Saccharomyces cerevisiae S288C: one gene and its partners. Each later gene encodes a partner of the first gene's protein in a complex. Each region holds a gene or a part of one and is shown on either strand. Other genes may lie near its edges. The genes, in order: EMC2, EMC6, EMC5 and EMC4. A codon is read from its position in the direction of its gene.

Region 1 (7,570 bases):
CAAATCCTTATCTTTGTTGTCTCCGTTGGCAGAATTATTATTAAGGGAGTGTTCGCTATCTTCCTCATCAAAGATTTTTCTAGGCGATATTCTCTTAAACTTTCTTTTCTTTTTTATAGGTGACGATGATTGGGTTAGCTGGACATTTGGACGTTTGATTTCTTTTGCAGTTGGTGTCGAAATAACTTCTTTCTTATCTGCTAAAACATCACGATTTATATTGCCCTCTTCTAATGTAGTGCTTCCATTTTCCATGTTGATTTGTTCTTTTTCTTCCACACTATTACGTTTTACATTTTCGCCTTGTGCTCCATCAAGCACACTTATATTATGTTGAATAACAGATATATCTGTCTTCTCATTATAATCGTCAAGTTGAGGACCAGTACTAGATGGAGGTGACTCAAATAAAGGACACTGCCTTTGAGAAGCGGTTTTCGTGTTGATCACTTCTCTTTTCCCATTTTCGCCTAAAGTTGGAGAGACTTCGCAATTTTTCGTGATACTGTCATTGTCATTTTTTATTCTCTCAAATCGATTACGTGTCTGAAAGAAATAACAGTTCCCATTTTGAGAAACCTTATAATGTCGGCTCATCGGATCGTCATTTATTGACCAACCTTGTAACAACTGTTTGCAATAAATACAATAACAGGTATCGTTCATAAGTGTTTTATCCATGCTTGGATCGCCTAAGCCTTCTATGCTGGAGTCGTATCGCATGAGTCCTGCATTCACCATCTTTTCTATACCCAGCGGATGTTCATTTTGAGAACCACTGTGAGGCCAGTTATCTTGAAAAGTAAATTTTCTTAGGTTTATCACGTTTTCATCATCTGGATTGCTGAAGTACTTGTCATTTTTCCAGTCCGAAACCCCCATATGGAAGCTATAGTCCGTCAATAGCTTATTGCGCAAGTAAATAAGGAGGCAAACTTGTTTGTTATCAGTAACAGTCAGATGTTGCCTCATTATATTGCTTAGAGTCTCAAGAACATCTTTTCTTTTGGATCTGCAGTCTCTCACATTGTATGTTTGACGATGACAATAGCAACATCTTACAGAGTCTTTTTTCAGTTTAGATGTCTTAGGATCGATCACTGGATCAAAGTAAAATCCAAGCTTGGCCATTGCCTGATACGGAATAACTTTAAAACTCCACTTTAACTTTTTTTTTTCAAGTGCAACACCATCTTGGAAAGTCCTTAACCTATTCTCCAGTTTGGTCATGCTATATCGCTTCTCCATTTTATCTATTTGACCATCCATAATCCCATGAGGTATAAACAACCGATGTGTCCTCGAATGTTGCACGCCCAGAGAACTTTAGCTAGGCTTTCAACACTAATATGAAACCTCAATCAATCTGAAAGAACTATAGGACACACTATAACTAAAAGTGCTTGATGACCTTGACCGATGTGTGAAATGGGTATGTATTGCAATATTATACTAAACTGTTAATCTTCGTATCGCGTGATGTGTTAGAAGCGTTGACTAGTGAAGTTAAGTAAAGAGATTTGGATCGTTAATGAAATAAATAACTATGTATGAATGAAAGGCATTGGATCGCATTGGAACGGAGAAAATTATAGAAAGCAGTAGATAAAACAATGTTGAAGGATTTGGTTAGAGAAAAGCTTTTGACAATTATGAATACCAAAGCGTATACTCAATTTAATCCAGAACAATTACTGCAACTAGAAAATGAAATGAAAATTTACATGAAAAGCGGAGACTCTGCACTAACAGAAGGAAACTATTTCTTCTTGATGGAAATGCTTTTCTATGTTTTGGTGTACCGAAACCAAGACGTTGATGCGCAAGTTGTTTATAATACATTAAGAGATCGTCTTGGTGAAAATTCGTATAAAATGGTAATCATGAAAGCCACTTTATTGCAGATAAACGGAAATGATAAAGGCGCTATTGAATATCTGGAAAATTTGTTGAATGATGATCTGGAGTATGAAACGGACTTCGTTACTTATGTCTCTATTGCAAAGAAATTGATAGCTATCAAGACAACTTCCAAGAACTTGAGCCAAGAAAGTGTTCTTAAAGAAGTGGTAGCTCTTACAGATAAATTCCCGCTTGATGCAGAATTGTGGTGGTATGCCAGCGAGATTTATTTCGAAATGGGCCAATTTGAAAAAGCCTGTTATTGTTTGGAACAGGTCCTATGTATTACACCATTCAATTACGCTTGTTTTGGTAGGCTAAGTGAGACTCTGTATTATGAGGCTCTACGTAGCAAGAAACAAACCAAGACCGAGCTCTTGGAAAAGGCATTAAAGAATGCTTTGAGGAGCGTTGAACTTAGCGAACTATACCTAAAAGGGTGGGCATTGGTTAACATCATTTCTCGCGAACTGGGACGTAATAAACAAAATGACTTGATCAAACTATCTGCATCGAAGCTAAAGGAAATTTCTGCGAAGTCTAACAATAAAGATAAGATTACCGCTGAATTAATTTTGAATAAGATATGAACGGAGCCAAAATTAGAAGAAAAAAAAAGATAGGGTGAGAGAGGATATGAAAAAGCATGTATATTTTTTTTTTTTTTGGATTCTATTACTATCATTACATAAGCGTACAACAAACACTATTTGAGTTTGACATTTGGCTATTTTTTTGAGCATTTTTCAAACCCTCTATAAAATGATTTGATCCTGCTACGGGGTAGCCCCATAGTTCTGGTAATGTATAATCTTTTGTATTCGAGGTATAGTTTATTATTGTAAGACATGCATTTGAAGCAGTAATTCTTTCACGGCTGAGTTCTTTCCTCAGTTTATTGTTAAGTTCGTTGATTCTTTTTAACTTCAATTGTTTTATCTTTAAGGAAAGCTGTTGCTGTTGCTGTTGCTGTTCCTGAGGTTGTTGTAAGCGTGGAGAGTTTTGAACTGATGTCATTCTTAGAATTATTGAGAACGTTTGCGATTGCTACTATCCTAAAATTGACAGGTGCTGTCACAAAACATTTCTGTTCTCCTTGTTAAATATTGCATCAAACATTTAGAGCCTGAAACAAAAATCAACATGAAAACCGGGTAACAGGGAGACATTCACTCATCACATTGACAAATCATATTATATAGTGAAAAGCGTACGTAAATTTTGACTATAAAGCAAGATTTCAAGAGTTGCAGATGATATTAAGACTGTCATCAAGCCGGAAGAGAAGCTAGTACGAATATTTCTTGTCGTTTTTAATTTCTCTCTTTATACTCGTTCCAAAATTGTACGATGGCTGCAGTAAAACTGGTAATCTAGGATCACTACTGAGCATATTAGCATTAACGAATATTTCACTACCGAAATGCATATACTCTATTAGTTTTTTTTTTGTAAAGGAAAGTTATCAACATTCATTTTGACCCAATAAGTATTCAGAGGTTAATATTTTAGACGTGTCGCGCCCTACGGGGTTGATGAAAAGGTGGTATTTAACGAGAAGGGGGAGCAGATCACATGAAGTTATTAGGTAACAGCGGGAGACAAGACAGAAACGAAGTTTGAGAGAAAGGAACATCAGATCACACTATGGAACATCCAGCATATACATTGAGTCTTTTGACTACAGCCGGTGGCCTTATGGGATACTACCGTAAGGGCTCCATTCCATCTCTAGTATCTGGCTTAGTATTCGGTAGTGTATATGGGATTGCCGGTTACTTGCTACATATGAATAGAGATGGTGGGCTCGAAATGGCATTGGGTGCATCGACCTTACTACTTGGTGCTGGTGTCATAAGAGGCATGCCTTCCAGGTTCACTAAACCTGTCCCTGTCGTTTTGACAGCTTTGGGTGGGCTCGGCAGTTACTACTATTATAACAAATACAAGGAATTTTACCCTTAGAGAAGGAAGAAGACGCACGATATATATACGACCCTATATATATATATAATATGATATTCTTTTATGAACAAACTTTCTTTTTTTTTTCTTCGTTCAATTATTGACTATTTTTCTATCATTTGCTATGGGGAAAGGGCTCCTTCTTACTGAAAACGATGCAGCGGTTGGAGTGAGAAAGATAAGCACGCAAAAGCCCACTTGCTATAGCACTTGCTAGACGGCATTCTAGGGCATCCAACTGCTCCTCTTCGTCCTCATTGGCAGAACTATCGTGTTGTTTTGTTGCCAGAAGAATTTTCAAGGGCATGATACTTTTCCGATCATTCCCCCATTGCCAACATCGTTGTACCAACCGAGTGAAGACCACCTCTCGAAGTAATGTGATGACGACATGCAATCCTTGCGAAAGGAAAAATCTTTCATGGCTTGCTGCGGTAGCCTCGTACAGTGACAGGTTCCCTGAGATTACGCTACGCACTAATGTCGGATAAACTTGACTTAAGCGCTTACTCCTAGTAATTACTCCGGCGATTACTGGATGATCCCAGTGAGGGTACAACCTTTTAGTTAAAAGAGCAAGCGGAACCAGCAGTATCATTATCTTTTCCATTTGGCCCTGTAAGACGAACTTGCCGGTAGATTCCACATATAGCATTGGACATTGCAATAATGCTTCATTTAAATGGAAGAACCCGCGTTCGTGATCGTTTTCCAGACATCCGTAGTATTGACCTAGATAATAATTATACAACACCACTTGAGACTTATGTTCCATTGCCAGGCTTTTATTCAACGGTGGTATATCCCGGGCGTTCACTCTGCTCTCGAGGACTTTCACTAAATTTTTAATCATATCTTTATTACTTAACCGATGGTAGATGGAAAACTCTAGATTAGCAAACATATAACACCCGATTTTTTTATTTTCATTCAATCTTGGGTTCCTATCATTGAGGCATATAGTAAAGCTTCTATGGATAGTGCGTCCACATTCCTCAATTGAGTCTTTATTAAGTTCACTAGATTCGTTTGCCAGACGAATTAATTGTTTAGCCATTACCCACAGCGGATAAATTATCCAATTGGTTTCTCTTTCTACTATTCTGTTGAAAAGTTTCAACTGTTCATTGGCTAATCGCAGCAATTCCTCAGTAGCATTCTTGATCCGCCCTTGCTTCTTCAATGACCTCCGCTTGGAATACTTCAATTTTAGATCTACTCCTAATTGGTAAAACCTTTGTAATCGTACACTCTCTTCATCTGTCGCCGTAGGCCTTTGTAGTATATATTTAGTCTTTTTAGGTGTTTTAACGTCATATCTGATGAAGTCTAACAGTTTGTCGTCATAGCGTTTCTCTTCAAAATAACATCCTATATCAACATCCATGATTGGTTGTAGAAACCGTTGCTGGACCTTTCTGTTCCTGTGTAACTCTCTCCAGACATTCCTTTACATACAATTTTCTTTTTTTTTCCTGACCTTTATCGTTAGCTTTTTCAAAATCAAAAACAATACGATTGAGGAATACTACTAACTAGCCAAAAGCAATACAAAATACATCCATACATACGCCCTAAAGTAATGTCAGAAGACCAGCGTGTAATTAGTCAACCAATTGAATTACATAAGCTGTCGATTGTCGATAAACACTCCCAAGGACAGCAGCAACAGCCGCATCAAAAACAACATGAAGTGCAGCCTGAATCAAAATCACCAAGGGTTACGACACCTTTAAAGCCCAAAAGACTTGCTATACCTATATCAAGTCCGCAAAGATCTACGACAAATCAGTCACCCGTGAGCGACCACGCAAGTCCGATTTCAACAGACCAAGATTTAATATATAAATTAGCTGCAAAACACAGAGAAATCAATGAACTTAGTTTCAAATTAGAGGTCGCCCAAAAAGAATTAAAACAATTAGAGTTACAGTTCAAAGATACACTGCCCCGAAATGGACAACAGAAATTAGGTAACCAGAACCCAAGTGAATACCTCTCTACTTTTACCAAAAGAATTCAACAGACATTTGTGGACGTAAATAATTCACCAAATATGCTCAAGGGAAAAAAGAGTATAAACGATTTTTTTAGTAAGCCCAATAATAATGTTAATAGCAACATAAATAACACTCTACCCAATCGTAAACCGAACCCTCCGCCTAATCGGTCACAACGTATGCAAAATATTGCTCCAAGCCGTAGTTCAGAATCAACTCCAACATCGGGTCCTCCCTTGCTACCCCCAAGGAATACTATGAAGAATGCTAATACCACGGCAACTGCTGGGGAGAACACACCATTCTTACAAAGAATACTTAACAAATTCAATCAAATGAATATGGAAGAGGACGAATTCGATGACCTTTTGGAAAAGAGGAAAAGTAAGAAAGATCACTATTACATAAAAGAAAATTTGGGTTACGAATACGATGAAGTACGCAGTGAAGACGAGGATGATGAAGAGTTTGAACCCATGGGTGACATACCCGTTCATTTATTTAAAAGGTAGCTAATGTCCACTATTGATGCTTTCTCAAGAGACCTTCATATGTAATATTCTCATTAAATACAAAGATTAAACGGCTTCATTTATGCATTCCTTTATTTAGGTAAATTTTTTTTGCCCGATTTTTGGTACTACTGCTTTCCTTTTTTAAATGTAATTGATATTTTTAAAAAAACCTCACATGTAGGCGATTAACCCAGGTCCTTCAACAACTTGCCGACTATGCCATTAAATTAATGATTAAAGGTGTGTAAAGCCACAACGAAAGCAAAGAATATACGTAAGATAAACATCTTTAGAGAACAGCCATTTTCCATCATCTTTCCGTTTGTTACCAACCTACGCCTAGAAGAAAATGACTGATGAGCTGAAAAGTTATGAAGCATTGAAAGCGGAACTAAAAAAGTCCCTCCAAGATAGAAGAGAGCAAGAAGATACCTTTGACAACTTACAACAAGAGATATATGATAAAGAGACCGAGTATTTCTCACACAATAGTAATAACAACCATTCAGGTCATGGGGGAGCCCATGGGTCAAAATCACACTATTCTGGTAACATCATAAAAGGGTTTGATACCTTCTCCAAGTCACACCACAGCCATGCAGATTCTGCATTCAATAACAATGATCGTATTTTTTCATTAAGTAGTGCTACGTACGTGAAGCAGCAGCATGGCCAATCACAAAACGACTAATGCGATAGCACACGTTGGTATTTACGTTGCTTGACCGCTCTAAAACATCTGATTGAAAAGAAAAAGAGAGAAGAAGGAAATGATTTCGACAGGTGACCTTTAAGTTCGATATACCTACATATTGGCTATTTCTTTTATTTTTCATTTTCTATAAAATATCTATATAAGTATTTTTATAACGATTTACTAACAAGGGCAAAATTTCAAAGGTCCCGTGCTCCCAGTCATTTTATTGGCTGGCGAATAAACGGATACAGATAAACAAAACAGAAGCACAGAAAAGGATATCCACCCATCATGATAAGCCCAAGGGTGAATACTCGAGTTTGGCAGAGATCAATTTCTCTTTTGAGCCCACAAGCGGCCAAGACGGAGAGTAATGTCGTAACTAAAGAAAGGACATATATCGAGAACTTAAGCAAGGATATTGCGACTTCCCGTTTCAGGCTAGTAGACGAAAATGGTAAAATTGCATCTATCACTGTTCAACCAGATAT
Region 2 (7,967 bases), on another chromosome or scaffold:
GTCAATACTCAGTCCCAATTCATATCAAAAAGCGTCTCTAACGCCAGCTTAGACACACAGAATACTTTCGAGCAAAATGTCGAGTCTGACAAAAACTTCAACAAATTGAATAGGAACACTACTAACAGTGGTTCGCTTTACCACTCCAGTTCAAATTCAGGCTCATCTGCGTCTTTAGAGTCCGAAAATGCTCATTACCCCAAGAGAAATATCTGGAACGTAGCCAACACACCAGTATTTAGACCTAGTAACAATCCAGCCGCTGTTGGGGCCACAAATGTCGCGCTTCCTAACCAACAAGATGGGCCTGCAAATAACAATTTCCCCCCCTACATGAACGGCTTCCCACCCAATCAGTTTCATCAGGGCCCTCATTACCAAAACTTCCCCAACTACTTGATCGGATCTCCTTCAAATTTCATCTCCCAGATGATTTCAGTACAGATTCCAGCAAATGAAGACACCGAAGACTCAAATGGTAAGAAAAAGAAGAAGGCAAACAGACCTTCTTCTGTTTCTTCACCTTCGTCCCCTCCAAACAATTCTCCGTTCCCGTTTGCCTACCCCAACCCAATGATGTTTATGCCACCTCCACCACTCTCTGCTCCCCAGCAACAACAGCAACAGCAACAACAACAACAACAAGAAGACCAACAACAGCAACAGCAACAGGAGAATCCTTATATTTACTACCCTACTCCAAATCCTATACCTGTCAAAATGCCCAAGGACGAAAAAACCTTCAAGAAAAGAAATAACAAGAATCATCCTGCAAATAACTCCAACAACGCCAACAAACAGGCAAATCCTTATCTAGAAAATTCTATACCCACAAAGAATACCTCTAAAAAGAATGCTTCTTCCAAATCTAATGAGTCAACGGCCAACAACCATAAATCTCACTCTCATTCTCATCCTCATTCTCAAAGTCTACAGCAACAGCAGCAAACGTATCATCGATCGCCGTTGTTAGAGCAACTAAGAAACAGTAGTTCTGACAAAAATTCAAACTCGAACATGTCACTAAAAGACATCTTTGGCCATTCCTTAGAGTTTTGCAAAGATCAACATGGTTCACGGTTCATTCAGCGCGAGTTGGCCACCTCACCAGCCTCAGAAAAGGAGGTCATATTCAATGAAATTCGCGATGACGCCATTGAGCTTTCGAACGATGTATTTGGTAATTACGTCATTCAGAAGTTTTTTGAATTTGGTAGCAAAATTCAAAAAAATACTTTGGTTGATCAATTTAAAGGTAACATGAAACAGTTATCTCTACAAATGTACGCATGTCGTGTAATTCAAAAGGCGTTAGAATATATTGATTCCAATCAAAGAATTGAGTTAGTCCTGGAATTATCTGACTCCGTTTTGCAAATGATCAAAGATCAGAACGGTAATCACGTAATTCAAAAGGCCATCGAAACAATTCCTATCGAAAAATTACCTTTTATCTTAAGTTCTTTAACTGGCCACATTTACCATCTATCTACCCACTCCTACGGCTGTAGGGTCATTCAAAGATTGTTAGAATTTGGTTCGAGCGAAGATCAGGAAAGCATTTTAAACGAATTGAAAGATTTCATACCATATCTAATTCAAGACCAATATGGTAACTATGTCATTCAATATGTTTTGCAACAAGATCAGTTCACCAATAAGGAAATGGTCGATATCAAACAGGAAATCATAGAAACTGTGGCCAATAATGTTGTCGAATACTCTAAACATAAATTTGCCTCCAACGTGGTCGAAAAATCTATTCTTTATGGCTCTAAAAATCAGAAGGATTTAATAATTTCTAAGATTTTACCAAGAGACAAAAATCATGCTTTGAATCTGGAAGACGATTCTCCAATGATTTTAATGATCAAGGATCAATTTGCCAACTATGTGATTCAAAAATTAGTTAATGTCTCTGAGGGTGAGGGTAAGAAATTGATCGTCATTGCCATTAGAGCATATTTGGATAAACTAAACAAATCTAACTCCCTAGGAAATAGACATTTAGCCAGTGTTGAGAAACTTGCAGCATTGGTTGAAAATGCGGAGGTGTGATTAGTGTTATCATCGTTCTCCTTTCACTTTTTACTATTTTTTTTTTTTTTTTTTTTTTTTTTTTTTCCTCCATTTGTCTTTCACTTACTCTATTTTATTTTGTTTTATTTTGATATCTACTCTTGTCCATAACATTTATGTTCCCCTATATTCATTATTTGCTTTTTTCCATTACCTACTTTTTGTACCTCATCTCTATTTTTCTGCAAAAATCTTTGCGCTCTTACGCTCTTCTTATTTCTGCAACAGATAGAGAATTTAACATTGTGTATTTGAAATCATTTGACTGAGAATACTGTTGTCATGTCTTTTTACATAGAAGGAACTAAAAAAATTTAAAAAAAAAAAACACAAATAACATTATATTTACTGTACATAATAAATCAAGCCTGTTTCTAACCGTTTATAGAAGTAGTTCTTATATGTTCATCCGATTAGGGCGTATCCAAATGTCCATGCCATGACAAAACCAGTTATCTCTCTAAAAAACGATTCGAAAAAAATGTCATGAAGTGGGCTTTGGTAGAACTTTCCTGGTTGAAGTTGACAGATCCAAACAATGTAAATGACATTAATCAAGTTGTACAGAATCAGGAACCAAATAAACCCATGGACTGACTCGATTTGCAAAAATCCTGCAACAAGCCCTAGAACAAGTGCTGAGCTATCTTGCACGAAAAGTAAACGCTTCTTATTATCAACCACATTCGCAGTTGCGTTTATCTGAGTAAATACCTCTTCATTTGAGCTCATTTCTATCTGTCTGCCGCTGTCTTTCTCGAACACTGCTTGAGCAATCCAACATAAGGTTAAAATTAAGTTGTATTTAGTTATATCTCTACTAGCTTCATTTGTGATTACCCGGGTTACTAGAAAGCATATAGAAAGAAAAAGAATTGGCGTGACCGTACATATTGCAGCGCATTAAATGTTCTATATCTTCATATATAATAATCAATGTCATTATTTCAAATACCCACCTTTCTCACAAAGACTGTAAAAAATAGACGTTTTATCGGATAACAATTTCGAGGGTGAATCGAATTCCCTCACACTACCCTGGTCAAGAACAATTATCTTATCACTGTCCAATACAGTGTCGATACGATGTGCAATTGTTAAGATGGTACGGTCCTTAAATTCTCTTCTTATAGTGTCTTGGATAATTTTATCGGTTTCCATATCCACAGAAGCCGTTGCTTCATCAAGGACCAATATTTTGGAACGGTTTAGCAGCGCTCTTGCCAAACATAGTAGTTGTCTTTGCCCCACTGACAAGTTACTACCGTTCTCATTAATCTTGACATCCAGAATATCATTAACATTGCCATCCTCTTCATTAGAATCATCACCTCTTGGTTTACTGTGCAGCATTTTTTCCAGATGAGGCTTTAAATGTGCCTGCTCAACAGCCCTTTTAAGTTCATCTTCTGAATAACGATTGAAAGGGTCCAAATTGGTCTTTACTGTACCTTCAAAAGCTTGTGCATCCTGAGGAATAATTGCCAAATGGCTTCTTAAATCGAACAGACCTATGTCGGATATATCAATGCCGTCAATAATAATTTTACCTTCGGTAGGTTCTAGTATTCTAAATAATGCCAGGCTCAGTGTAGACTTCCCTGCACCTGTTCTGCCAACAATCCCAACCTTTTCACATGGCTCAATCTTCACGTTAATATTATTCAGCACTGGATCCAAATTTTCTCTGTATTTTGTGGAATAGTTTTTGAATTCAATACCACCCTTTGATGGCCAATTTTCATCTGGCCTCTTTTCAGGGTTAATGGACTGTGCTTCAGGTGGTAATTCGCAGTACTCAACAATTCTCTCCACTGATACAATGTTGGTTTCAATCGTCACAGTTGTCCTTACAATCCAAGTCAATGAACCTGTAACCTCTAATGAATAGCTCATTAGTAGACCAACCATACCCGAACTTAGTTGCCTTTTAGTATTCATTGTTGCTAGTGCTAAGATTGCAGTAGCCAAAACAATTGTAGCACCAATAGTTTGCAATCTCACGGATAACCATCTATTCGTTGATCTAAAGTTGAAGACAAAATCAACGTTGTATTGGATTTTTTCATAATTTAGATAGATGAATCTCTCAAAATGATCGTATGCATCAATAATAGAATAACCGTTCAAGCTCTCACTCATTAAGGACATAATCGGAGAGTAAGATATACTGATCAATCTTTTTAGCTCCCTAGATAGCACAATGTAAAATGTTTGATAGTAAATATAGATAACCACCAAAAACATATTGAACACTAAAAACCATGGCATATTGTACCCGACTAATATAACAGTAACCAAATAGGTTAGTATTGATTTGAAAAAAAAGGAGAAAATGTACTGTAGATTACTGTCCACTGCATCCATATCAGATGAGAACCTGTTTATGATCCTTCCAACTGGTGTAGTCTCAAAGAAAGTCATAGGACTTCTAATTACAGATTTGGCCATGCTTTCATGCAGTTTCTTAGAACCCCTAATAGAACAATACAGTAGCATCATAATACTCCGTAAATTATTGAATGCGGCCGATGCTACTCCGATTAAGGAATACACACCAACAAACATCCAAACCCTTTCATTTGAACCATTTTTTTCATTAGATTCTGACCAGTACTTTAACCAAAAATTCTCTGCTAAGTCGAAAACCCTTGTTAATATCATAAACAAGAAAAATAAAACAACACCTAAAACTCCACAAGCCTTAATATACGCAAGATAAATCTTTGTTTTGACTCTTCCCACCTCTGTCTTCTCGGCCTTTTGCGCCGTTTTCTTCACGGAATCCAATTGTGCTCCCACAAAGGGTCTAGGTCTTAGCGTAGCTAGAGAAGCTCTTCTAGAATTGGCTTTGATTAGTTCTAATTCACTCTCAGTAACAACCTCATCCTCAGTTTCTGATTCAGTTACTTTAAGCTGCAGAGGTTCATCCACTTCACTTTCGGATCGGTGTTCAGTTTGGACATCGCTTTCATTTCCATTATCAATCGGAGAATCAAATTCCTCTAGTAATTTTTTCAGTTTTGAAGTATTGTTCTTACGGTTCATTACATCCTCATAATTCCCTTGTTCAACAATTTCACCGTTTTCTAGCGCATATATCATCTGCGAATGTTTTAAAATTGATACAGTATTGGTAGTTAAAATAATTGTTTTATTTTTTAATAAAGCCGTCTTTCCGATCAAAACATATTCAATAATATTTTTACTAACTTCTGCATCAACAGCAGATAAAATGTCATCCAACAAATAAATATCTGCTCTCGAGTACACCGCTCTGGCTAATGAAAGACGGGCCTTCTGACCGCCTGATAGGGAAATGCCCTTTTCACCTACCAAAGTTTCATCACCATCTGGTAGTATTTTCAAATCGGGTAGCAATTGACATGCTTTAATAGTGAGGTCATAATAATCTTGGTCGAACTTGTGACCAAATAGAATGTTTTCTCTTACAGATGCGTTCATTATCCAGGATTCTTGTGAACAGTAGGCTACAGACGATGATCTAATGATCAGTTTAGGTGGTATCGAGTCCCTAGAACCACTCATGCAAGGAAGTTGACCAAGAATTGCCTTCAAAAATGTTGATTTACCAGCTCCTACCCGACCAACAACACAAACTAAATCACCCCTTTTTGCTTCAAAATGATCGATATTCTTCAACGCAATTTGAGAAGATCCGATAATAGACTCTTCATCTGTCCTCAAATTATCTCCAGATTGGCTAGATGTTAATACTTCTTTTGATTTCCATAAAAATGTAATATTATTCATCTCTATAGCAGGTAACGCTCTTTCATCCGCTGAAGGATCAATACGTTCGATGAACGAATCATCAATTTCGTCACTAAGTAGGAATGACTTTAATCTTTCCATAGAAACGCTTGTCTCTATAATGGTATTTATCATGGATGGAACGGAATAGATGGCACTGTTCAAAATATTAAATAAAGATAATGAAGGGAAGACAATGGCAGGAGATAACGGAGAATCACTAAATAAAGAAAATAAGCCAAATGTGGAACATGTCACCATTAAAGGTACACAATTCCACGCAAAATATATCAGATTGCTCACTATACCAATTTTCCGAAAATTTTTCAACTCCATATCATTACGAACATGATTCAATCTTGCCATCATAGGTTCCTCCCAGGCGTATAATTTAATAGATTTTATAGCATTCAAAAGCTCTGTAATAGTCTTGATTCTCATGTCCTTATACTTCATTTGAGTTTTTGATAGCTTTTTTACCTTTCTAGATAAGAAGGCATTGATAGGCATCATAATAGCCATAGTAACCAACCCTCCAATAACAGCCTTTCCTAGCAACCAGTACAGGGAAGTTAATACAACAATAATCTGAATAGGAGCGCCAATAATGGTTTGGGCATTTTCGAAAAACCGCTGGATCCTTAACACATCCACAGACATCAAATTTAAGATGTCACCAGTAGATTTTTCGTTACGCTCTGCTAGCGTCAATCTTAAGGACTTCTGATACACTAAAGAAGCTAAAGAGCCTCTTATCCCCAAACCAGCCTCAAAAATTCCAATATAAAATTGATTGGTGAGGAACACAGAAACCACGCTGATTACGAAAAGGGTTAGAGCAATAAATACACCATTTAAAGGAGGATATTTAGAAGATGTTTCCGGGTTCAAACCATCTATGAATATCCGTAGAAACTGGGGCTGTACTACAGAAAGTAAATCAGATGTCGTTTCATACAGCATAGCCACAGAAATAGTCCTACCAAATGACTTCCAAATGGCCCTCCAAAGAGAATTTCTATTCAACCATTTTTCCAATTCCCAGTTAGCCTTAAATTCCTTACTTATCGACTTAATATTCAGATCTACTGGCGGCAATGGTAACTGGTTAGGATCTTTGATTTTCTTGTTACGGTAAGTTTCCACAATCAGTTTGTTCATCCAGATAAATGTAATATAGGATAGTACATGAACGGGGGGATACCACCCATTTTTCTTGTAGTATTCAGATAATTCGTTAATTGGCTCAAAAATGCATAGATCATAAATAAAAATTGCCACAGAATTGAAAAGAAGGAGCACTTCTAAAATCATAGCAGTTTGTCCGCTAATAACAGTAAGCCTTTCGTTACTAGAACCATGATAGTACCTCTGCAATATCAAGAAGAGCTGTAGAAGAATTTGAAACATGTAATAGAAAAGCTGGTTGCCCATTGAAAATGTACTTTTAAAATAAGCTAAGTATTGAGTAGGGAGAGAAATACCCAAATTGAAAAGGAGATTCAAGTACAGAGCCTTCTTTAGTATAAATGGATAAACCCTATCGCTAGATTGGGATACCAAGGCCAGTTCACAAATTATAAGCGTGGACTGAAAGCAAACATTGGTCAAATGCGTTAGATGTCGACTGTTGATTTTACTTGGTAATGTAGGAAAGTTCTTAAATCTGGGTGGTACTTTATTGTTCTTATAAAGTTTCCACAATTGATAGCTACCAATCAATAGGAAAAAGACGGCTTGCCAGGCGGATATTACTGATATAAAACATGGATTTAATGCATTTGTGCCACTATCTGGATATGGTCGGTATCCATAGGGGCACCCATCTACCACTTCTAGTGAAGACATTGTCTTTATATTAATCTTTTTTAGACAAAATTTTCTTTATGATCTCTTTAAAATTAACCACTGCTAATATATGTTCAGAAGAGACCTTGGTATAGAAAAGTATGCGAGGACAATCTGTTGATAGGTTCAGGAGTATGCGATTTTAATTTGGAGAACTGGCTGAATTAACTTATACTCAGGCGCAATTTTTTAAAGGGAATTGGAATTATCGCGATGTCGCTACGGCCAAAAATTTGAGGGCATTTAAATATTATGGTATGCTATAA
Region 3 (7,928 bases), on another chromosome or scaffold:
AGACAAGTCAGGTTACACCAACAATATTCTCCACTTTAAGGACAATGAGGCCAGTCAACTCATGGATATACCTCTATCACCACATACACGGTCCAACACCGCAAAAGGGAAACCGGAAGACGACTCTTTAAATGATTATGTCAACTTGTCGTCACATAGTGACCTAAGCAGCACAGAGGAGATAGTGTGCTGGAATTCTGATATGGAGGACGAAAACATGGATGCAACCATCCAGTGTGATTTCCATCAGGCGTTCAATAGCAGGAAAGAGTCTCTAAATGGGCTAATGTGCATTGCCAAGAAAGTCAAGACGTACTGGAACAAATAGACAACTTTTTCAAACATGTTTCTTTTATGACAAATATATATATTTCAATTTTCTCTTTTCTATCTAGCTATGGTTTAGATATACATATTTTTAATAGATTTATTCCTTTTCACTTATATCACAAGGTGAGCATCTCATTTCGTGGAATAATCATCGCTGTTAGCCGCCGAGGTACACAGGCTCCAACAGACAACGGCAAAAGATCTGGCATTATTACTGCTTATGTAAAAGAGGAAGATCAATTTAAAAAAGGAAAAGGAAGGGGTTTGCGTATTGGTACATTGCAAGCAACTAAACGTCTAATCGACTCATCCTACGAAGCTCTGTTTTTAAGCATTTATTGTCTATCCTCATCAAAGCAAAGTTTCGTAACGAAAAAAAAAGCAGCCTGCTACCGATAGGAGAGTAAATTAAGGTCAGCTAGACGATTAGCACACAAGTTAGATAGTTGTGCTTTATCCAGCACAGCATGAAGTAAAGCTCGTACTTATCCTGCCTAGAACTTATTCTATTACTCTCATCTCTGACGGCAACGCGACGCGTGACGCGTAAGATAAGATGATTCTTTTGTTTCCTTTCCTCTATATTGATTAAAGAGAACAAAGCTTCAAGTAAACAAAAATAATAAAGAAAGGCGATTGACCTGAGAACAAGAGCTCGGACGAAGGTAACATGACTGCTGTGCGTCGCTCAACTAGAATAAGGACTAAATCTCAAGTTATTGAGGAAGATTACGATGACGAGCAAAACACCAGCGCACAACACGTAGAATCTGATAAGATCACTGCCAAAACGCAACATGAAGAAGAAGAAGAGCAAGATACTGGTGAAAGTGAAGAAAGTAGTAGTGAGGATGACTATGAAGACCAGGATGATGATGACTACGTAGATACCGCTACGGCAAAGAGAAAGTCTAGAAAGAGAAAGCCCAAATCAGCATCAAATACCAGTAGTAAAAGGCAGAAGAAAAAACCTACTTCTGCCCAGAAGTCGGCGGTATCTCATGCGCCTGCTTATCACCGCTCTAAAAAAGATCAGGATCAATACTTAGAAATTGCGAAGGATTTCCAACCTACAGAATTGTTTGATATATTATCCACTTCAGAAGATGTTTCTATTGAAGAACTATTGCGAGAATGGTTAGAAACCTATTCTGAAAATAGAGATAAATTTTTACAAGAATTTATCAATTTGCTATTGAATTGTTGTGGCTCCGTCGCTCGCGTCGAAGACCACGACGTTCACAGCAATGAATCTTCTAACGAAACGATTGGTGAAATTCAGTTGCTATTTCAAAGACAGAAACTGCACGAATTTTACCTCTTGATTAGCAAGGAAAACAAAAAGAGAAAAAACTTTAAAATGGGTCCCCTTTATCAAAATTTCGCGGAATTCATGACTAAATTGTTGGAAGTGGCAAATGACTTACAATTACTATACGTGGAATCGGACGAAGATGATACCCAAATAGTTACTGGTAATCTTGTGTTGGATTTGTTGACTTGGCTGTCTTCTTTTTCAGTTTGCAAAATCAGATGCTTCAGATACATTTCTACGCTAACGCTATATCTTTTCCAGGACTATTTGACCCAACAGGCTGTTAATTTAGAAAAGAATTATTTGGCGAAGTTATCCAAGCAGTTATCACTAGAAGAGAAGAAAAAAAGGCCCAATAACAAGACTTTAGAAAAGCTAGAGAGCACTATCGCCGAAACTCAAGGCAGCAAAGTCGTTATTGATAGCATTATCGATAACATCGTCAAACTATGTTTTGTGCATAGGTATAAGGACGTGTCTGATTTGATTCGTTCAGAATCCATGTTGCATCTATCCATCTGGATTAAAAACTATCCCGAATATTTCCTCAAGGTTACATTTTTAAAATATTTTGGCTGGCTGCTGAGCGATAACTCTGTATCAGTCAGATTACAAGTTACGAAGATTTTACCGCATTTAATAATCCAAAATCATAACAGTAAATCCACTGATAATTCCGCTATACGCCAAGTATTTGAACGCTTCAAAACTAAGATCCTGGAAGTGGCAATCCGTGACGTTAATCTTGATGTAAGGATCCATAGTATCCAAGTTCTAACGGAGGCGTCATCATTGGGCTATTTAGATGATTCTGAGATTCTTATCATTTCTAGTTTAATGTTCGATGAAGAGTTCGACCCATTTAAAACATCCTCATTCAATAAAAGATCCAAATTTCTATCCACGGTGGCCAAATTCTTAGCAAGAGTAATAAAAGAGAAATTTGACGAATTCATCAAGACGCATGAAGACTTGCCCAAAGAAGTCGACGGGTTAGAAGTTGGACCCGTTGTTCAAGTCGGTATATTTATCAAGATTCTGAATGACTCTTTAATTTATCACTTGAAGGATTGCGCTGAAGTTGATTCAAGGACAAAGATCCGTATGCTAACACAAGCAGCAGAGTTTTTGTCTCCTTACATTTCCACTCACTTGAAAACTATTTGCAATCTGCTGATCTCTGACACTGAATCAAATGAACTGATCCAAAAGTTACAAAACTCGGCCAATAATAACAGCGATGACGAGGATGTTGACGATGAGGAATTGGACATCACTCCATTGTTTCCCATTGACAGAAATAGCACTATTTTATATCTGAACGTATTCCACGGTCTGTGTGCAGGTGCCAACAACCCCAAAATCCAAACTAAGGACAGCGTTAAGGAAATAGTTTTGCCTTTATTCTACGATTTGTTGAATGCCGCATCCATCGAATCTGCTGATATTCTGTGTCCTCTCCTAGAGAGCTTTATCACATTTTCTCTGGATGATTGGATATCTATTGGATATGAAACTGAATTAAAAAAAATTACCGACAAAACTATTAAAGCATTTATGGATTCTACAATCGGGAATTCAAAAGTTGACATGAAGTACGATATATTTGCTAAATTCATTCACCATATCCATCATTTTGAAAAAAAGGAACTGCAGGAAAAATTTTTAAACCAGATAGCTACATTGAAAATTCATTTAAAAAAATTTCTACAGGAAAAAATGGATCCAAATAATTCTAGGGACGACTACAAAGATTTAACTTGTTCTTTGTACGAGCTCTACATCAATAAACTGACAATTCTTGGCAGGGATTACCCAATCGAGGTTGATGAAGAGTTGTTGCAACTGTTTTTGAACAATTTTGTTTCCCGTATCCCTATAATGTTTCAAGATTTTGATGATAGTACCGCTCAAGAAATAAACTTTAAAATGCTAGTGTTATTAGCCACATGGAATCTGGAAAAATGGAGAGAAATAATAGAGAAAGTAAGGGATTACGAGAATTCTATTTCAAAAGATCTTAGATCAGTTTGGAAACCAATTGCCGCTATAATAGGTCGTCTAAACACACTCGTTATTTCATTGGCGGCTACAAACGAAACATTTGAAAACATAAACAGCTTGTTTTACTTAAAATGGTCAGCTTGCACTTCATTAATGGATATAATCGTTGCAATAAAAATATTTGAGCTCAAATTGCCTGCAGACGCTACAACATGGAGATATAGTATGAGTGAACAATTTCCATTTTACCTTCACGATAATGCTTCCAAAGTGCTTTTGAAAATATTTTTATATTTGGAGAGTCTTTTCGCTAAGCAAGTTGACGTCCAATTAGAAAGGGTAGCAGATGAAGACGCCAACCTAAATGATTTGCCGGAAACCGGGTTTTTCGAGAATATTGAAACTGAATTCCTTTTATTCACAGTTAAATTGAAGGGACTAATGAAACTGAATATTTTAGATGAACGATTTGCTTCCCGTGTGGCACTAAACAAAGAAAAGCTTGGCCCGCTGTTCAAAAAAATCGTAGATGATACCATAATGGAAAATCCAGAACCTAATAAAAAGAACATACAGAAAGCAAAATCAAATCAAACACAGAGGGAAAAAGCGCCTTTACAACCCAACAGTGAACGAGAAACCGACCATGCAAATACTGAAAATAATGATCCAGATATTCCCATGACAATCGATCTAGAACCTATTGAAGAAAGTTCGCAAAATAATTCAGAGTTAGCACCAATTGAGGAACACCCAACCGTGGTAGATGCTATAGACAACAGCGACGAAATCACACAAGATTAAGGGAAAAGATATACGTCAGACTTATTGCTCTTTTGTAAAACAATAAGATCTATAATATATATCACATCTTTCTTTTGAACATACATAGCTTCGTTAGCAGTTTTTGATTAATCATAAATACTTCAAATATCCCTTCGCATTAGACTATACTCGCTGGATGATATTCGGCTATGTATTTTCCAAGCCCATTCAATCGTCATCAAAGCGCCCTTTGCTTCTTCGAAAACTCGCGATGTAAACGCAGCGCAGAAAAATCTACTTTTGAATATAAAATAAAGTCAACTCAGATAGTTGTTATGCATGTTAATTGTAGCATCTAAAAAGCGATCGTAATTAAGCCCTACCGAGATACAAAAAAGCAATTATCAAGAGATGTCGTTTGTTTCCAAGCTTCTCTATACAGTCTCTGCATTGGTGTTATTTCATTCTGGTTTCTCAAGCTATGAGTTTCATCACTTATTAAAACTTAACTCGCTTAATAATGCACAAGGTGCAATCAGCAAGTTACCTAAAGATATCATGTATGAAACGTATGCAGGATTGATACTCTTTGTTCTTGCAGTGTTCACTTCGTTCGAGAAATTACAATATTTACCAATTGAGAGTAACGATGGGAAGATAATATCCCAAGGAAACTATCTAAAAGAAATCGCATTAAATAAAGCCACCAACGTGGATAACTTGATAGGAAGTAACCCTAATGGTGAGATCATATTTACTCCAAGCTTTGTTGACGTTCATATGAAGAGAAAAATTTGCAGGGAATGGGCCTCTAACACTGTAAAAAAAGAAAAATAAATAAGATACTGAAAACTAGAGCTAGAACTTATAATTTCATACATATATACATATCAAGATCTAATAAGAGGATTAGCTAGATTTTGAGCATAAATTCGATAGCGAATCTACTCGAACATCGTAACTGCACAAAATAAGGCGTCAGGTGACCAGGCACCTCTTCTATTTACACCAACACAGACGCCTTTCATAGAGGAATAGAAAGCTATATTAGAATCACCAATAATGCAAGCGTCTCCTGTGTTCTATAACGTGAACCATAAGCTTGAGTGGTTTCAAAAGGATTACGGGGCGGATAGTATCTTTTGCGTCTTCGTTGGATAGTTTGTTATTAAGATACATAAATACACACTAAATTTAGTGGTAAAATCTTCTATTCAATATTATCGAGAGTCTCGGTTTGAGGGCTAACACTCTAATGGATAACCGTTCGGAATATTTCTATTCCAGTTTACATAGTATAAGTACGATATTCATCCTCATGTTAGCGTAAGTGGAACTTGTTCAAATCATCCTGAGGTACAGACAAGCCCTTATTGATGATTCATTCTGTTATTTCAGGAACAGGTAATAGTTCTCCACCACTTGAACGCCCATGCTAGTTGTAAGGTGCCGTATAAAGGCAGTTATGATATCATGTATGCGTTTATTATAAGTATTATCGCCTGCAGAAATAACAAAAGTGACACATATTGGTACAGGTACTAAACCGATGCTAACCGTACTAAAACAATTTACCACCCGGCTCGAGTTTTTTATTCTTCACAAACTTTTTCTGCATTTAATTGTGATGAATAACGAATAACTATTTCCTTGATCACCTCAGTAATCGCGAAACGTGCATTTGTGGTAGCAACAGTTTTAATGACAGTAGCATAGCCTATTGCACCTCCACATGAAGAAGCTACCAGTCCACCGCCAGAAATAGACAAAATGGTAACATCGCTTACATTAATTAGCCCTAATACAAAAGGTTGCCATTTGCTAATTTGTTTTGGTCGTCGAAAACCATTTGTGTCGTCGTTAACCTTTCCATTTATTATTCCAGCAATAAGAGCAAACCCCAATGAGACAGTACAAGCTGTAAGGGGAACATGCCCTATTACCAGCCCAAATGACCAATTGACTAACCAATCACCACACACACCCGCAGCTGTGTTGCGTGCGACGTTACCCAATGTTATGGTAATGGCTTGCTATATACTGACTCGTTCAGGTGAATAGAGAAAACCCGTATCACCGTAAACCCATCAGTGACCGTTTTAATTACCACAGCTGTTGCTAGCGAGTAAAAACCCTTTTCACCACTGGTATATAATATGTTCATCGTAAACAACCAATTGGCAACTATCCGGGAGGTCACGGCTGCGCTGCATACTTTTAAAACAGCTTGACGTGGATTAGACCAATTCACCATACGTTTGGAAAACATACTGGCCATTATCCAAGGTGTAAGTATAACGTCAAAGCTGCAATCAACTGTAGAATCTCTTCCTAACACATTTCTATATAACGCAACCAACATTATCATTGGAAATGGCATACAAACAACGCGTCTGAATAACCTTGCATCGTCCATGTTATTGCCTTTTCTACACCACGCAGCACCTCTTTAATGCAGCAGCCGTCACTATTTGCATTGACGCATGTCTTCATCCTTGAATGCCTGGCGATAGTATAGGTAAATTAGTTAAATACAGCTTTGAGTAATTAGGCATGTACTTCCTCTGATTTAGTGACAGGTTCAATTGTTAAAGTATTCCCATTAGGCCAAGTTAAAAAGCGAAATTTATTTTGTTTTACAGATTTCCATTGAGTTTTTATGCCTAAGGGCGTGTTTTTTCAGCTCGTAAAATCATGAAGTTGTAGCACGCTGGCTCACCATGACAATTCCAATGGTGCGGTTCAATCAATTCACTGAGGTAGAATGGTGGACCATGATATTCAGAAATAGGTAAGTCCTGAGGTAATGATTAGGATTTAACTGTTGACTCTATTATAAGGTATACAGAATATACTGGCATAAAACAAGGATCATTAACACGCTAAACAGGGTGTTGTTTAATATCATGAATGCGCAAATAAGCCCTTTTTGCTGCAGCAAACTTTATGTACCAAGATCTTAAAGGGACTCGTTACCAAGATGCGAGTGAGTAGTCTATTATTAGAGAGTAGATCAGCTTCCGCCGCTTCCTTTTTTAACGGGAAAAAAAGTAGAAGCTGGGACAACTTTTTCGCTGCCAATAATAATTAAAAAGAAGGACCCTTTTTTCATTATAGGTATATTTGTTAAATATTTCCATTCCTAAGACAATCAACAACGCAGTTATGCAAACCATCAAAGAGGGCAAATGAACTATTCCCGCTCTTCGTAAGGATGCTGTATTACCGCCGTTAGCCATCAGAATTACTATAAAAACAATGCGGTTAATTTTCATTGCGAAAATGCTTCAATATTCATTTCTACCATTTTCCCCGTTCAATCTTTTGAATTTTGATAATAGTATAAGCGTAAGCTGGTTTATAACATACTCAGTGATCGTTTCCATTTGGGGGTTTGCTGTGTGGATTGAAGGAGCATATAGGAATAAGATTAATCTACAGCTTCCAAGATGTACGAAGATAAAATGCTCCCGCTACAATACGAGAATAAAATCCCCCAAGTGGTTCAACTGTA
Region 4 (8,060 bases), on another chromosome or scaffold:
AGATCTTTGATATATCCATGGGTCCGCAACCCTTTCGGCACGCTGCTGTGCACTGGACACATCAGCATCAGCTCCTCTACTTCCTTCTTCTCCACCTTCCTCGTGATTGTCAGAGCCATCTCCTTCGTTGTTATCGTCCGTGTCAGTATCCACTTCCCCTTCTAAGCTTTCCAGATCGGATTCATCGTCGTCGTCGTCATCGTCATCGTCATCATCGTCATCATCATCATCGTCATCATCATCGTCATTTCTGTCATTTTCCAGGCTGGTATTAGAGTTAAGCGCCATTTCACGTTCGGATAAAACGGGTTCTAATAGTTCCTGAGCATTTTTCCTCATGTCTGAGGAAGCTTTCATAACTCGCACTGAATTTTTATTTGAATCTTTAACACCAAATCTCAAAGTAAAATCATTAACGTCTGGATAGAAATATTTATAGACTTGAATCAGGTAATCGTCGTTGACAGCTTCAAACGAAATTGTGCCTAGAACACCCAAATTCATCAATTTAGACCAGATTTCTTTCCTTGTTAAAGCAGTTAACTTTGTCCTGCCCATTCCAACGCCAGTGGGATTTTCATCAGCGTTGATTAAGTTAGTGTTCTTCAGTTTGTGAAAGAGTTTTCTATGTTGCAAATATAAAATCCATAAATCATAAGCCACAGGCTGTTGCAGCAAGTAGCTCGGGAACAAACAGTTAATGAATTCGCGGTCTACGTCATCCATATATTCAGACATTTCCTCTTAATTATGCTGAAATTCGACGCTTGGCTTTAACGTACTACTAATATTTCTGCTATAACAGTAACAGTTCTGGTCCAATCCTTTGGCTCTTTCTTTTGGTTGATCGATTCATCAGTTCCCTCCCCTGAAAGGCTCGCGCGTCCTGTAATCTAGCAAAAATAGGCAGGATACAAAATACAGTGGAGTGGTAATATTATATTCTTATATGGCTATATATGTTTATATATAAAGGTAAAGACAAACAATAAAGAACATACATATATATATAGATAGATATTGTGTGTGTGTGTGTGTGTGTGTGTGTGTGTGTGTATAGCAAGCGCATGAATTTCATCACAATGTCATGGTAATGGTTGTGGTGATGGTCGAAGTAGAGGTGTAGGATACGTCTTCTTCGTCTTCTTCTTCCTGTTGTCGTAATAGCTCCTGCTGCCTTTGGAACTCTTCTGCTGCAGCTTTTTCACGCTCTTTTCTTTCACGTTCCTTTCTTTCACGTTCCTGAAATTGCAGGTTGGCTTTCGATCTTAGAATATACAAAAACTCACCACTCTCTTGAGTGAACGATAATATCTTCTTTTGCACTTTTTGCCTAAACGCGTTAACACGGGATAAGTCAGCGGAATGGTGAGCCAGCTTGTCTCTAGATTCTATGATCTGTTTCTTGCCCTTCAAAAACTTCTTCCAGTTAACAGAAGACTTTGCTTTCTCTTCATCAAGCGTAGTGTCATCATCTGCACCCATGTGAGCGTTGATAACATCCACATAAGCCATTCTTTTGGACCATTCATTTACAATGATATCACCCCATTCTTCAAATACCTCGACGTTTTCCTCTCTAATTGCATTAACTTTTTTTTCAATTTCATCAGTGATTTCGCTCAAATCTTTCTCCATAGCATTTGTCAGTTCGTCTAACGTCGAGCGCGTCTCGTTGAAGTACTCACGAACTAACTCTCTCGTTATGTACTGAGAAATCTCAGTACTTCCAGATTTATCGAAGAAAATTTTCTTGCCAGTTTCACTATCAATGCCTTCCACACATTCAATATCGTTAATGGCTAGCGAAATCTTGGAGAAGAACTTCTTAGATTTATCATCTAAAGATTGAAACTTGGCTTTAAAATGGTTGGCCTCCTCAACCAATTTACCATTGATGTATTTGGAAACATCCTTTTCAAATAGCTGTATGACGTCTTGTGTTTTCTGCAATATAGTCTCACTCCACATGTCAAAATCCTCTTGCAACAGAGCCTGTTCATTGACATTGACGTCTGTGGAGCCTTCAACGTCTGTGGAAGCCTCATCGTCGTGCGCATGATTAGCAACAGCGCTAGCCTCTTCCTGGTCCAAAGTAATTGTTTCAACCACTGTTTGAGTACTTGTTGTAGTTAGCTCCTCTTCGTCAGACTCCATAGTACTTACGGTTAAAACCATGTCCTCCGAGGAAGGCTCACGTGTGACAGAACCATGAATGCCATGCGTGTCCTTATTCTTGAACTTTCCCATTAATTTTTCCTCTGTATTACCAACAATAAAGTCGTATTTGGATTTGATGCATCTTGAAGTGATAGTAAAGTAATAATGGCCTATATTTTTATACTTTAAAATTCTTTCCTTCAAATGAGAGCGAAACTCCGCAGTAAAGAATTTGTCTAAGTTAGGTTTCACAAAAGCATTGTATTTTGCGAAGAAAAATCGTCTAGTCTTGACCATTGGGGAGCGGACCAATTGGTAATACTTTCCACAGTTCCATTTCTTACATTGTGAATGGATGACCTTGAATGCAGGCTGTATAGCGACCTTGTTCACTTTTACTGTAGCGTCATCGATGACAGGTTTGACAGCCGTGTCATATTTACGCGCCACTATATCGAAACCGGGACTAACTTTATTTTTGTATAATTCACAATTTCTTGAAAAGTAGGTGTTCCAGACTCTTGGATTGGTATAATGGCAAAGCGTTTGCGTGCGTTCACACGATATGCTCCCACTATTGAATTCGCAACAGTACTGAAGCAACGATACCAACACCGTCAGAGTTGTGATTAACTTTATCAGCTTTCCCATTTCGTTACGCTGCGTTCTTGTTTAGATGTAACAGCTTTTGTGCATCCAAGATATAAAGTACTTCAGAAATGGTGGTTGAAACAGAATGCCCATTACGCTTACTTTAAGGCTGTTCTTCAAGTTGATCCTTTCTTTGATACATGATTATCATCATGTACGTAGAAATCCGCCTTATTTCCGAAACCTGACTATCTTAGGGTTATACATAGAAACGTATAGGACATTTCTTACTTTTGAAAATTGTTCCTTGGGCAGTTCAGGGTTTAGTTAGGGTATTGATGCCAGCCCTAAATCCCCTAAATAAGAACTCTCGAGGATAATAACAGACAATAAACCAAGAGTTCATCCACGTATGATGGCTGTTTTTTATTCTGTCGGTTTTTGGTTGCCGTAGTAAATATAATTTGGTAAGCGTGTTGTGCTGTGTTGTGTTGTGTTGTGTTGTGTTGTGTTCTACTAATTGGATTGTGCGAATAAGTGAAACGGTTGCTTCACCCAGCGGGAAAAGGACAACCTGGTATTTGGTGTGAGATAAAGTTATAGACAATCTGGTCTTTTGTTATTAAGTTCTCTTTTCTTCTATACCGTCCAGTTTACTGCTCTCTTGCTTTTCGATAAAGCTAAAATAAAATAAAAATATGTCACTATGGCCCTTTGGAGAGACGCTGAGTCATTCCGGAATTGATTCGATACTTGAAGAGTACTATCTAATTTTTCGTAGTTTGGAGGGAAATGAGACCTCTTCAACTGACGACAAGAAGAATGAGCCTTCTATGGAGTCAGAGTCCGAATTTGGTACCGAGTCTCGGGATAGGAGTGACCTTAACCAGTCATTTATTGATAGGATCTTGTTGGAAACAGCTTTGCTGGATGAACTGAATGGAGCAGCCAACGACAGACTCGTCGACTTCATTTGCTTGGGATATTTCTATGACGACCGTTCCCAGCAGGTCCGCCACATGGACTACCTAGTGGACATGTTGATGGCTTACCTGAAGGACATAGACCGCACTGGTTATAGAACCCCATTTCTTTTAGAGAATTCATTCCATCAAACAGGTGAATATGAAGATCAGGACGATGAAGACCCAATGCTGTATGTCAACATTATTTCCAGTATTTTTTGTTCGAAAAGTGCGCCCATAGTGGAGGCACTCGTGCAAAATACCCCATTTTTGTCCTCTCTGTTCGAGGTTTTCCAGTTTGAAAATATTGAGGCAGAAAATTGTCCTATCTTGGCTGTTTTCCTTAAGATTAACGAAACTCTTCTGTTTGAACAGACATCTAGCTATTTGGAATTTTTCAAATCGCAACCGAACATTGTGGACAAGTTCTTATATCATATTGAAGTCTCACCCTTGGTTGAATTTCTCATTAAAATCATGCTGACTGATCAAGTTGAATCACCTACGAACATTATTGACTTCTTGTATCACCAGGATCTGATACCTAAGTGTTTGAATCTCTTGGAAAATAGCAAATACTCACCTGGTATTCAAAACAGTAGCGGAGAGCTTCTAAAAGCACTGATCAGCATTTCCACCAATTTTAAACTGGATACTTTGTGGATCGGACCTAACCGATTGACAAGACAGCTTGCCTCTCCGCAATATGTCGACCAACTTATTAATATAATCTTATTTCAAAGAGGCCATGCAATGGGAGTTGCCGTATCTATTATAATTGAGTTGATCAGGAAGAATAATTCCGACTATGACGAAGTAGATTTGTTAAGTACCACCATAGTAGACAATCCGCCTTCTCAAAGAGATCCAGTCTATTTGGGCCATTTGTTATATGAGCTCACTATGCATATGGAAGATTTTTATGCATTACTAATTAAACTTGAAAATGATGATGACGATGATCATGACACTGCTTCAAAAGCTCTTCCATCTGTTAAGCATCACCTACTAGAAAACCAATTGCATGAATCATTCAGGCCTTTGGGCTTTGAAAGAGTCAAGATTACAGAATTGATATCGGAAATGTTACACTGTTCAAATATGGGATTGATGAATTCAAAAAGAGGCGAAAAAATAGCACGTACCAGAGATAAATGCAGGGACACTCTTGATCAAAACTCACTAGAGAAAGCCATGAAAAATTTAAATATAAATGATAATACTATTACTTCCAATACATTAGAAGATAAATGTAATAATAATGATAGTAATGACAGTAATGACAACCAAAAACAAAAAAAAAATATTAAAAAAAAGTTTCATGATAATGAATTGTATTCTACTTTTGATACATCTGATGACAATATTGATGATGATGATGATATGAGTTTTGAAATTCCTTACGTCAGTGAAACGCAAAATTTGAAAATACGTAAAAACCCTACCATTGGAGATTTATTCAAAATTAAACTTCATGACCTTGGGTTTTTTCCAAAGTTTCTACAATTATTCTTAAGATATCCTTGGAATAACTTTTGGCACAACATTGTATTTGATATTATTCAGCAGATATTCAATGGTCGAATGGATTTTTCTTATAACTCATTTTTGGTCTATTCTTTGTTTGATTTCAAAAAGTCTACAAGATTTATCCCAAAACCTTTGTACGGCAGCAACCAAAAGTTACCTGTTAAAGACTTCCATATTATCTCTGATTTCATTTTACAAGGCCACAAGGATTCGTTTGAATTTTACGAAAAAGAGAAAACAAATTTAGGTTATATGGGTCAATTAGTATTAATTGCCGAAGAAATTGCGAAGTATTCCAAAATTTATAAGACCGATCTAATTGCTCCAGATATATATGCCTTCTTACAAGATGAAGTTTGGATGTCATATTCTAGTGACATCTTGAACGAAACAAGGACAATGTGTTCAATAATTCTTGGTGGAGGCCAGTTCTGTGCCGAAAGCGATGAAAATACTAACCAGGACTTTTTGGAAAAAGCTGATATGAGTAAACCAGCTCATCCATCCACAATGGATGAGAATGAAATTGTTCACGAGGAGGATGTTAAGTTGCATGATAAAGTTGCCGAGCTCATAGATGAATTGGGTCAATTAACCGAATTAGATATTCATGATAAAATTAAAGATGTTATTGTTGATCATCATTCCGACTTAAATTGATTAGGTTAAGTCGTCAAACCAATTTTGACTTTTTTTTTCCTACATTTTTAATATTTTGTTTCTCGTTTTGCCTTATTTAATTTTGTGACATGTAAAAATTACGAAGCCTATTGGGGGCCAATTGAAGTAAACTAAATATAACAATAGTCCTTTGTAGTTCAGGAATGTTCACCAACTATTCACCAAAAATTATTGTCTAGCTTACTTTCAATAACTTATAGCTATCTATACAAAAATAATCATATAACTAAAGTCAGGCCCAAACCAGGCAAAACAAAACCATAATAATGGGAATTATTACACTATCCGGCAATGTTCTACATTTATTGAAAGCCTACCCAAAAAAGGGCCTTGAAGAGGTTTCTCAACCAGAGCCTAATACAGCAAATGATTCCTCGACTGAATATAAAGGAAAAAGCAAGGATGATTTTCAAATGGTCGAAAAATCCAATACAGATGAGAGATACAATTTTACAAGAACGAAAAAATGGTTTTTATTGATGACCTCAGAATATTACAAACTAATGGAAAACAGACTTTTAATGTTTTGCATTATCGCTTGCTCTTTTATTTGTGCTATCCAATTTCTTTTCTTTATAATTTATTGGACCAACATTGTTCCACGGAAGACGCAAAGGGCAATAACTAACCTAAATTACGATTATTTAACAGCCCATCTAAAAGAGCAATGCGTTCCATATGCGAAAATTCTTGACCAATGTATTCTCTAGCAATCTCTGCTTTTGTACATTCGTAGTTTTTTCATGTTCCTTTCATAAATAATAAAAAAAGCGTATTCTTTTCTATATAAATAGAATGAAAAAAAGTTGAACATAATATCAGTTAAGGTTAAAATAAAGCCAAACGATATAAGCAACAGAAATGAGTGAACAGGAGCCTTACGAATGGGCTAAACACCTATTGGACACCAAGTATATCGAAAAATACAACATTCAGAACTCAAACACATTACCTTCACCACCAGGATTTGAAGGTAATTCCTCTAAAGGAAATGTTACAAGAAAACAACAAGATGCTACATCTCAAACTACTTCTTTGGCACAAAAAAACCAAATAACAGTATTACAAGTACAGAAGGCATGGCAAATTGCGTTACAACCAGCCAAATCTATTCCGATGAATATTTTTATGTCGTATATGTCCGGTACATCCTTACAAATCATTCCTATAATGACTGCCCTCATGCTACTCTCTGGACCCATTAAAGCAATATTTTCAACAAGGAGTGCATTCAAACCAGTGTTGGGTAATAAAGCAACACAAAGTCAAGTGCAAACTGCTATGTTCATGTATATCGTATTCCAAGGCGTCTTAATGTACATTGGATACAGGAAACTAAATTCAATGGGTCTCATTCCTAACGCTAAGGGTGATTGGCTACCCTGGGAACGAATTGCTCATTATAATAATGGATTACAATGGTTTTCCGATTGAGAGCGTATATACTTATATAAAATATCTATTCTGTTTCATATATGATTATTGTTTTACACTCTTATCTTCATCCTTTCGGAATTTCGATTCATAAAGCTGTTGAACGTTGTATTTACGATATTTGGTTTTATAATCCCCATCGACTACACACATTCCGATATTGCTCTTAAAACATTCCACTAGAATCAATTTATCATAGTTCTTCAAGTCCACAGTATGATTAAACTCAGAACCCTCTTTATTGACCAGCTTCACAACTTGATTAATGATGTCCATTCTTTCAATCGTATTGAAATTTCTTCTTGTCACTTCTACAGCAAATTTATAATTTTTTTTAACATTCGAAGGGTCATGAAAGTGTGGCCCAATAACCAAATTGGCCAACTTGATTAATTGCTCCATTTTTGCATTACAAGAGTACGTAATAGGTGTTAATTTCTGAACATATCTAGTACGTTTAACCATATTTTTGGGATCCGCTAAGTCTTTCATGATACTTAGCACAAATTCTTCGGGAACAATTGGCTTTCTTGTTTTACAAAATGTCACGCACTCACAGTTCAAGTCGATGAAGGCTAAGGGGTCTTTCTTCTTTGTCTCCCCTGAAGATAAATCTTTGCCTGTTTCTTCACCTTTCAATTCTTGTAATTCCTTTTTTATCTGGTCTTCAATTGATAGATCTTTCTTTTCGTCATTTTC

Evidence for each region.
Region 2: EMC2 (region 1) and EMC6 share a complex: the UniProt entries of both Saccharomyces cerevisiae proteins name them as parts of the ER membrane protein complex.
Region 3: the proteins of EMC2 (region 1) and EMC5 are in contact, whole or in part, in a cryo-EM structure (PDB 6WB9), measured with the Saccharomyces cerevisiae proteins. Residues at the interface, in NP_012621.1 of Saccharomyces cerevisiae: Met1 (codon at 1,614), Leu5 (codon at 1,626), Val6 (codon at 1,629), Lys9 (codon at 1,638), Thr12 (codon at 1,647), Ile13 (codon at 1,650), Asn15 (codon at 1,656), Thr16 (codon at 1,659), Lys17 (codon at 1,662), Ala18 (codon at 1,665), Tyr19 (codon at 1,668), Thr20 (codon at 1,671), Gln21 (codon at 1,674), Phe22 (codon at 1,677), Pro24 (codon at 1,683), Glu25 (codon at 1,686), Gln26 (codon at 1,689), Leu27 (codon at 1,692), Leu28 (codon at 1,695), Gln29 (codon at 1,698), Glu33 (codon at 1,710), Val62 (codon at 1,797), Tyr63 (codon at 1,800), Arg64 (codon at 1,803), Asn65 (codon at 1,806), Asp67 (codon at 1,812), Gln97 (codon at 1,902), Ile98 (codon at 1,905), Asp102 (codon at 1,917), Lys131 (codon at 2,004); in NP_012237.1 of Saccharomyces cerevisiae: Glu69 (codon at 5,030), Gln72 (codon at 5,039), Tyr73 (codon at 5,042), Leu74 (codon at 5,045), Pro75 (codon at 5,048), Ile76 (codon at 5,051), Glu77 (codon at 5,054), Asn79 (codon at 5,060), Lys82 (codon at 5,069), Ile83 (codon at 5,072), Leu95 (codon at 5,108), Asn96 (codon at 5,111), Lys97 (codon at 5,114), Thr99 (codon at 5,120), Asn100 (codon at 5,123), Asp102 (codon at 5,129), Asn103 (codon at 5,132), Leu104 (codon at 5,135), Ile105 (codon at 5,138), Gly106 (codon at 5,141), Ser107 (codon at 5,144), Asn108 (codon at 5,147), Pro109 (codon at 5,150), Asn110 (codon at 5,153), Gly111 (codon at 5,156), Glu112 (codon at 5,159), Ile113 (codon at 5,162), Ile114 (codon at 5,165), Phe115 (codon at 5,168), Thr116 (codon at 5,171).
Region 4: the proteins of EMC2 (region 1) and EMC4 are in contact, whole or in part, in a cryo-EM structure (PDB 6WB9), measured with the Saccharomyces cerevisiae proteins. Residues at the interface, in NP_012621.1 of Saccharomyces cerevisiae: Glu146 (codon at 2,049), Leu149 (codon at 2,058), Lys150 (codon at 2,061), Val153 (codon at 2,070), Thr156 (codon at 2,079), Asp157 (codon at 2,082), Trp166 (codon at 2,109), Tyr173 (codon at 2,130), Phe174 (codon at 2,133), Glu175 (codon at 2,136), Met176 (codon at 2,139), Gly177 (codon at 2,142), Gln178 (codon at 2,145), Phe179 (codon at 2,148), Glu180 (codon at 2,151), Lys181 (codon at 2,154), Tyr184 (codon at 2,163), Cys185 (codon at 2,166), Glu205 (codon at 2,226), Tyr208 (codon at 2,235), Tyr209 (codon at 2,238), Leu212 (codon at 2,247), Arg213 (codon at 2,250), Leu241 (codon at 2,334), Lys242 (codon at 2,337), Ala245 (codon at 2,346), Leu246 (codon at 2,349), Ile249 (codon at 2,358), Glu253 (codon at 2,370), Lys280 (codon at 2,451); in NP_011283.1 of Saccharomyces cerevisiae: Gln4 (codon at 6,798), Glu5 (codon at 6,801), Pro6 (codon at 6,804), Tyr7 (codon at 6,807), Trp9 (codon at 6,813), Ala10 (codon at 6,816), Lys11 (codon at 6,819), His12 (codon at 6,822), Leu13 (codon at 6,825), Leu14 (codon at 6,828), Thr16 (codon at 6,834), Tyr18 (codon at 6,840), Ile19 (codon at 6,843), Glu20 (codon at 6,846), Tyr22 (codon at 6,852), Asn23 (codon at 6,855), Ile24 (codon at 6,858), Gln25 (codon at 6,861), Ser27 (codon at 6,867), Thr29 (codon at 6,873), Leu30 (codon at 6,876), Pro31 (codon at 6,879), Ser32 (codon at 6,882), Pro33 (codon at 6,885), Pro34 (codon at 6,888), Gly35 (codon at 6,891), Phe36 (codon at 6,894).

What each region holds. Positions count from the first base shown.
Region 1 is NC_001142.9:581,417-588,986, reverse strand, and holds EMC2 (Emc2p), read left to right. Parts: upstream 1-1,613; coding exon 1,614-2,492; downstream 2,493-7,570. Other genes in the region: BIR1 (survivin), read right to left, coding at 1-1,269; STE18 (Ste18p), read right to left, coding at 2,587-2,919; TMH11 (Tmh11p), read left to right, coding at 3,550-3,867; YJR084W (uncharacterized protein), read right to left, coding at 3,983-5,254; ACF4 (Acf4p), read left to right, coding at 5,450-6,379; EAF6 (Eaf6p), read left to right, coding at 6,732-7,073; AIM24 (Aim24p), read left to right, coding at 7,371-7,570. UniProt on the Saccharomyces cerevisiae protein: Part of the endoplasmic reticulum membrane protein complex (EMC) that enables the energy-independent insertion into endoplasmic reticulum membranes of newly synthesized membrane proteins.
Region 2 is NC_001144.5:116,166-124,132, reverse strand, and holds EMC6 (Emc6p), read right to left. Parts: upstream 2,812-7,967; coding exon 2,485-2,811; downstream 1-2,484. Other genes in the region: mRNA-binding protein PUF3, read left to right, coding at 1-2,058; ATP-binding cassette bilirubin transporter BPT1, read right to left, coding at 3,022-7,701. UniProt on the Saccharomyces cerevisiae protein: Part of the endoplasmic reticulum membrane protein complex (EMC) that enables the energy-independent insertion into endoplasmic reticulum membranes of newly synthesized membrane proteins.
Region 3 is NC_001141.2:301,002-308,929, reverse strand, and holds EMC5 (Emc5p), read left to right. Parts: upstream 1-4,825; coding exon 4,826-5,251; downstream 5,252-7,928. Other genes in the region: ATG45 (Atg45p), read left to right, coding at 1-328; cohesin subunit IRR1, read left to right, coding at 1,001-4,453; EMA17 (Ema17p), read left to right, coding at 7,673-7,928. UniProt on the Saccharomyces cerevisiae protein: Part of the endoplasmic reticulum membrane protein complex (EMC) that enables the energy-independent insertion into endoplasmic reticulum membranes of newly synthesized membrane proteins.
Region 4 is NC_001139.9:62,349-70,408, reverse strand, and holds EMC4 (chaperone EMC4), read left to right. Parts: upstream 1-6,788; coding exon 6,789-7,361; downstream 7,362-8,060. Other genes in the region: glucose-induced degradation complex subunit VID30, read right to left, coding at 1-738; SHE10 (She10p), read right to left, coding at 1,078-2,811; SAP4 (Sap4p), read left to right, coding at 3,450-5,906; YGL230C (uncharacterized protein), read left to right, coding at 6,194-6,637; TAN1 (putative tRNA acetyltransferase), read right to left, coding at 7,407-8,060. UniProt on the Saccharomyces cerevisiae protein: Part of the endoplasmic reticulum membrane protein complex (EMC) that enables the energy-independent insertion into endoplasmic reticulum membranes of newly synthesized membrane proteins.